2 linked regions of the Cricetulus griseus genome follow. The protein of the gene in region 1 interacts with the protein of each later gene in a biochemical or structural test. Links are inferred from orthologs where the notes say so. Each region holds a gene or a part of one and is shown in the gene's direction. Other genes may lie near its edges.

The links. The genes of interacting proteins can lie anywhere in the genome.
Region 2: the proteins of Nf2 (region 1) and Amot form a complex in vitro, tested with the Homo sapiens proteins (2 studies listed by BioGRID and IntAct). The link is inferred for Cricetulus griseus from reciprocal best matches to the Homo sapiens genes NF2 and AMOT.

What each region holds. Positions count from the first base shown.
Region 1 is NW_023276807.1:100,083,620-100,087,273, forward strand, and holds part of Nf2 (merlin), read left to right. Parts: intron 1-579; coding exon 580-705; intron 706-2,743; coding exon 2,744-2,866; intron 2,867-3,654. UniProt on the Homo sapiens protein: Probable regulator of the Hippo/SWH (Sav/Wts/Hpo) signaling pathway, a signaling pathway that plays a pivotal role in tumor suppression by restricting proliferation and promoting apoptosis.
Region 2 is NC_048604.1:35,461,006-35,464,659, forward strand, and holds part of Amot (angiomotin), read left to right. Parts: intron 1-1,378; coding exon 1,379-1,523; intron 1,524-1,888; coding exon 1,889-1,981; intron 1,982-3,654.

The sequences.
Region 1 (3,654 bases):
CAACCAGGCATCCTGATAGAGATCTGCAACTGGCCTATCTGACTTCTCATTGTTCTTCTGTTCTACAATTTTTGTAATTTTAGTTCCAACTTCCATATATTTAATTTTTCTCCTAGTAAAACTAGTCTTTAAGTTAAAAAGTGAATACTTACCTTTTATCAAAAGGCAGAGTCATGATTTAAAAAACAAAACCACCCCCCCCCCAAAAAAAAAAAACCAAACTCAAGGGAATTAGTGTCTCACAAACTAGCCATCTTCCTGGGCTAATTTAGGAGGCTTGACTCTCCTAAATGAGGCTGCTTATTTACCAGGTTTCCTAAATTAGCAGCTTTGGGGATATTGAGATCTGTATGGAACTGTCCAAGGAGGTATTGTGTGTGCTCCACAGCAATTGAGCCATTAAACTCTAATTGGTATTTTCCCACTCATGGTTTTGTGTGGGAAGCTTTACAATTATTTAGGAGTTCAGTGCTCATCAGCCATTTTGGTGACAGTAGAGAGCACTGAGAACAGTTCTGTGTGTGAGCTGATTATGATTTTGCTCACAATGTCCTTCCCTGTTGGTTTGTTATATTGCAGATGAAATGGAAAGGGAAGGACCTGTTTGATTTGGTGTGCCGAACACTGGGGCTTCGGGAAACCTGGTTCTTTGGACTTCAGTACACAATCAAGGACACTGTGGCCTGGCTCAAAATGGACAAGAAGGTTGGACTAGATCTCCATGAAACCCTGGGGGAGGCTTATGCTTCCTGTTTTTTTTTGTTTTGTTTTTCCCTGAGCTTGCGCTTAGCTTATTTGCTCTTTGTTGGGGTATCACAAGGGTAAAGAAGGGATCAATTTTTTTTATATAGATTAGGTCATGTATGTAGGAGGCAAATCCTACAGGCATTTCTGCTTTGCACAGACTCTCCAGACAAGCAGGGTTCACCAGGACTAAACCTTGACTAGCTTTTCTGCCCATTGTCACTGCCCTGTTTGCTTTTTGGCATTATGCCCTTCAGTTTATTGAACCACCAGTCAGGTTTTATGGATAATATTACAATTATCTTTGTATACTTAAAAAAAACACAATTTATGTCTTTGAGAGATTCTCCTAGGGCTCATGTTCATTTATTTATTTTTTAATAAGTATTTGAGAACACCAAGACCCAACTGACTTAATCATTAATGAGACCGAAGGAATAAAGAGCCTGAGATGAAGGAGCAATCCCGTTTCCTCCTCAGGATTCTCTGGGATTTCTTTTTTTTTTTTTTTTTTTTTTTTTTTGGTTTTTCGAGACAGGGTTTCTCTGTGGCTTTGGAGGCTGTCCTGGAACTAGCTCTTGTAGACCAGGCTGGTTCGAACTCACAGAGATCCGCCTGCCTCTGCCTCCCGAGTGCTGGGATTAAAGGCGTGCACCGCAACGCCCAGCCTCTTTGGGATTTCTTAAGCACATCAAATCTAGGTTTCTAGAAATTTGAAGGTGGCTTGGAAATGGCTATGGCTTAGGGAAGCTGCCATTTATGGGTTCATATATTCACACAAAGACATGTCTATCTATTTTCCTGGCCACCTAACAGTGAAAACAGCTGGAGAACGGGGCCAAAAGACCCTGGATTCCCAAAGTAACTCCATGTCTAATTCTGATCCTAAATGGTGCCCCTGTCAATTGCCCCTGAAGTTATCTAACACATAAAATGGTAACTAAAAAAGTGTCATCTTACTAGTGTTAAGTGAGATGTTCGCATTATGTTCACAACATGTATATGGTTATCTCCTTCATGCTTAAAACTTCTGTTGGTTGTCAGTTTCAATGGTCATTCCCAATGACTAGAAACGCCAAATGCCACAAAGATACAGTGCTGAAGAGGCAACTAGGATTAGACTTAATTTGAGTTCCTTGGGGACTGCCACTGGAATTTGGGCATGCATATGGAGAATTACATATCAGAGACAGCTAAGCTTTCTGTGTCTTTTTATGATTCTCAGCAAAGTGAATTTTAAATCATACCTGAATGTTAGCCAAATGGATATTAGATTGGGGGCATCGGGAGTCATAGAACCTGCTGCTCAAAGGAAATAAATTATGACACATGTTAATGGAGCCTGGTAGTATGTTTATGTCCTGAAATGAAATTCACTCTGGAGAGCAGATGGTCCAAGCTTTTCAGGGGGTTGGTGGGATTGTTACAAGATTAAAGGCAGTGGTTTTCTTACTGCACTGCAAGCATTTTGTGGCCATCTCTGAAAGATTCCAGGAACAAAGCATTGCCATGATGGCCATGTTTCACTTCTAGTATTCATAACACAGTGACAACACAAAAATCTAGTTTATTGTATTTAAGTTATATTCCAACAGAACCTAATTAGAGTGGGCAGTAGCAAAGAATAAAGTAAGATGTTACTATTTCAGGAAAAAATAAAACTTTGTAAATCCTCAGTCTTCCATAAAGGATAATGCCCAAGACCTTTGAGTTATGCATTCTAGTTTGTAACTATTCTCTGTGACTTTGAGAACACTGGTTCTGGTCACTGTTAGCTCTGGTCACCCCATGGGTTTATTGATTGGTTTGATTCAGAATTCCCTGAGTGAAGTGGATGTTATCTCCTGCTATGTATGGCTCTGTGAATGCTTCCAACTGTAGAAACACAGCCTTTGGGAAGTGGGATGGATTTTATACCTTCCCTGCAAAGCATGCTCTGATGGTAGTACATAAAGAAGAGAAGCCAGCACAGCATGTCTTTTGCTCTGAAATTCTGCAGGTGTTGGATCATGATGTTTCAAAGGAAGAACCAGTTACATTTCACTTCCTGGCCAAATTTTATCCTGAAAATGCTGAGGAGGAGCTAGTTCAAGAGATCACGCAACACTTATTTTTCTTACAGGTACGCCTACCCATGGTATCTCCCCCAGTTCTAAGAGAACTGATTTGTGTATAGTTGTAGAAGCAGCCCAGGTGAACCCCTTGGAGTTGACCACAAATGCTTCTACACTGCAGAAAATGTTCTGCCTCCAAATAGTCAGTCCTTTTGGTTCAATAATGGGAAAAAATATCTTCAGAATAGAACTTTACCCAAGTGATGAGAATTGGTGTCAGATGAAATTGCAGAGGTGTGATGAAGAATAGACAGAAGGAGTTACCCAATATATAAACCTCCATGAACATGGATCTCAGTTTCTTCTGGCTAACTTGAAAGTTCTCTGAGGTTATAAAGAAAAGCTTCAGAGGCTTGCCAAAAATTTCCTTTAAAGTTCAAGATCTCCCATCATCAAGGCAGTTCTTCTGAATGGCAGTGACTCTTGGTCTGTCCTATGCCTAAGGTGTTTCAGATAGCCTGCTCTGTGCTACTCTGGGTGTATATTGTCATTTCCTCCTTCGTTGGAGTGTAAGCCCCTTAAAGATAGGCTCACTGAATATGCAGTTGGTATTCTTTTAAGTAATTCAACTAAATTGAAGAATTACAGGTTGACCATCTAGGAGCACAACGAGGTGCTTCATTTAAGGATGGAAACCTGTTTTGTCATAGTCAGGGAGCCTCCTCAGTTTCATGACTATCTGTAGTGATTGATACTAAAGCTGCTTATGTGCCCTAAGGTGCCCCATTGTCCATGCTGTAAAAGATTGTGACAGGGCATTAAATACATTGATTTCCCAGAAGTACATCAATGATTT
Region 2 (3,654 bases), on another chromosome or scaffold:
GAAAATTGCTTAATAGGCCATGGGGTTTATTTGTCTTATACAAATTATATGCAAATAATCGCCGAGGTCATTACACGTGCACTGGAGCTGTACTGGTCACAGAAAACCTCTGGAGTCTGATTTCTTGTTTTCTTCCTGATTCTGGCTAATTCTGGACAGGAACCTTTGGCTTTCTTCTCCTTTTATCAGATTTGCAGAGAAGTGTCATAAAACAACACAAATCATGACTTTCAGTTAAAAAATCAGCACTAGTTTCCCACTGACTATAGTGCCTATGGGATAAAGTCCAAATGCCTGGCATTTAAAGCCATTTTATGGCCTGACTTCAGTTATCTTCGCAGCCATATCCCTCTAGCTTCCCTGTGGCTACCACACAGTGGCCAGCCAAATTAGACTCCTGGTCATTCTGGGAATGCATTTGCTTACTCAGAATAGAATACCCTTCCCCTCACCTCTGCCCATTGAAATCTAAATAAGCTTTCAGGATCTGACTTCAAATGCCATCTCTCCCTGAAATTATTTTCCTCCCCTCCCCCAACCAGGGAGAACTTCTATTTGCTCCCTGTTCCCTTACAGCTGTGTTTTGCTCTAAATTCTCTGACTTGAGTATATTGAAGGCAAGGATAACATGGGTGCTCTCATTCAGGTTTGGACACAGCACAGGTTAATCATGCCTTCTTAACTAGCTGGCTCTTGATTGAATACTTGTGAAAGTGAACTGAATTATACAGCACGAGGATGGCCATTTGGGTTTTTAGGCATTGAGTCTGCTGCTGATTTGTACTTGGGAAAGGCAATTTAACTGCTCTCTATGCTAACATGGGGCAAGATACATCACCTGGGCAGATGTCAGGACAAAATGAGAGAACCACACAGAAGTCCTTTGTGGGCTTCAAAATAAAGTTATTGCTATACAATATACAGCATTATTAATATTTCTGAAATTAGAAAATTGAGAAATGAAAATCATGTGATATCTATTTTATCTTACTGCCTTCCATGAAGGTAGAAATTACACTACACAACCAACTCCACCCCAACAAAAATACACACACACACAAACACACACACACACACACACACACACACACACACACACACACGGTTTGCTTTTGTCCTAAGGAAATCCCATGATGTAGTTGAATCATGTATTGAGCTCACAGTTGGTCTTGGAGAATCTTTCTTGAACCCAGTGCTTAACTGTGTTACACTTGCCTCCTGGATGATATATATATATATATAATATATATATATATATATATATATATATATATGCTCTGAAAAAAGATGCCACTGAAGTATTACTCTATGTATGGCTCTAAAGTGTCTTTCCCATTAAACTCCCAGAAGAAACACCATCTTTCTTTTTAATGTTAAGGTGGAGACAGAAATCCAGCGGGTCTCAGAGGCATATGAGAATTTGGTGAAGTCATCTTCCAAAAGAGAGGCTCTGGAGAAAGCCATGAGGAACAAGCTGGAGGGGGAGATTCGAAGGATGCATGACTTCAACAGAGATCTGAGAGGTAAGGGAAGAGTGGACTTGACTTTGTAGGGTTTTTTATTAAACAAACAGTTTGCTTGTTTTTTGAGACAAGGTCTCTCTACAGCGTTCAGGCTGGCCTAGGACTTATTGCATAGTCCATGCTGGCCTTGTACTCCAGAATTCCCATGTTTTACCTTCCCAAGTGTGTCCCTACATCTGGCTCTTGCTTTATTTAGTAGGTCTTGTAGTGTTTTGATATTCACTTTTGCAAACTCGGTCTGTGTCACCCATCCTGTTCATCAAAAATGGTGCTGACTTTTGCCAAAGGCCAGTATTTAGAAGACAAACAGCATGGGCTTAGAACTTTGTATGGAAGGACCTGTTCATTATCTTCCCATTCCACAGAGCGCCTAGAGACTGCCAACAAGCAGCTGGCTGAAAAGGAGTATGAAGGGTCAGAGGACACCAGGAAAACCATCTCTCAGCTCTTTGCCAAAAGTAAGTCTAGAAACTGCATACGCAGGTATGGATGTGAGGATGGGCAGTACAAGTCTGGAAATGTCACTTGTCTGGATGGAAGTAAAGTTTATGACGATGTTGCTTGCCTCTCTTTAGCGTTCTAGAACCAAATGAATGTCTTTTTTTCTGTTACTGCATGAAACACCAGGAAGGCTGCTGCCACAGACTCTAGTCACATCAAAGGACTGTTCTCTGTACTAAGTCAGCAAAGCCCATTGGGATCCCTGGATTGTCATGGCGAGCCGAAGGCACAACCTTAGGGCATATTGTCCTTAATAATAACGCTGAAGGGATTATTGTAGGTGATTCCATATACTGCCTCTGGTTGATGGGATGAACATGTGGGGCAATGATTAATGTTTGGAATCCCCAGCCTGTACCAGGGGTTCCCCTACTAAACACCTATTGCAGTATCCTATCATTTCACACTGACAGACTGTGACGATAACCAAACTGTGAGGATAACCAGAGGAGGAAGGGCCTCTGCTGTGACCTGAATTCATGGTTCGGCTTTCAGAGCATACAGGGCTGAGCAGGGCTGTGCTGTCCTCATAATAGTGTTTCCTTTGTCTGGAAATACTCCGAGGACTGTAACAATGAATTCATCCTCTTCTTTATCGGCCCCTAATGGACTCCACCCAGCTAGACAATGCCTAATTCTTTCCAATTGCTATAATAAAAGCAGCAATAAAAACTTCATAGTAGATTGAGTCCACTGGGAGAAGAAATTGGGTTGAGAACAGATGAACTGTCCTTGTTTCTCTGCAGATGCCTAAGGTCGGCTTTGCCCTACCCCAGCCTCCCTCAGTGCAGCTGCCATTGCAACCAATGCTTACTGGGGACTTGTCAGTCTCTTCCATTTTTGCTGGGCCTCCCAATGACCCTTTCATGTCATTCTGTGCCATTTCCAGTTAGCTTTTACAAGTCTGTTTGATCTTCATTTACAATATTCCCTTCCCTGCCTGGGTCGCTCCTGGCTTCCGAACAGTTTTTCTTCCTCTTTGCCCAGAGCCTGTCAGCCCTTTGTCAGTAGTCTAAGAGCCAGGAATGTTGTTTTTCTGGTGTCATCAGAACCTAGGGTAAATTGGGAAGTTGCTTTTGTGGTGTCACGGTTACCCTGGAAGCTCGTTCAGTGGCAGGAAGATGGTGGCAGCCTCCCAGAGTAAAAAAATATATGGATTCTTGCCCTGGATCTGCTAGTTTGTGCTCTCCATGAAGAAATGGTATTTTGGGTGCTCTCAGAGCTCTGCTGTGGGTCTATAAAACATAGTTCTTTACTAAAGCAAACTACATAACCAGCAGAGTGAAAGACCCTCAGAAATTCAAAAACTAGGTGGGGAAGAGAGCATGCCCTTTGTGCCCTTCATTTCTTTTGCATTTGGGCATCCTAAGGGCCCTGCAAGGTGGACTGTAGCAGGAAGAAAGAAAGCTCTCTTGAAAAGCCTTCCCTGGGGGTGTACTTCAGCAACCCCAGAGAGACAGAAGCAATTGAACCCAGAAGGCAGCTGGGTGTAGTAGAAAGGGCTTCAAATCAGTTGAGCGTTAAGTATGGAATCCACCCATCATTTTTCAGTTGGGGGAGCTCTTGCAAGTTAGTCATGCTTGCTTTCCAAATCCTGTTTTCTCATATGCAAAATAGAGACGTGAAGACT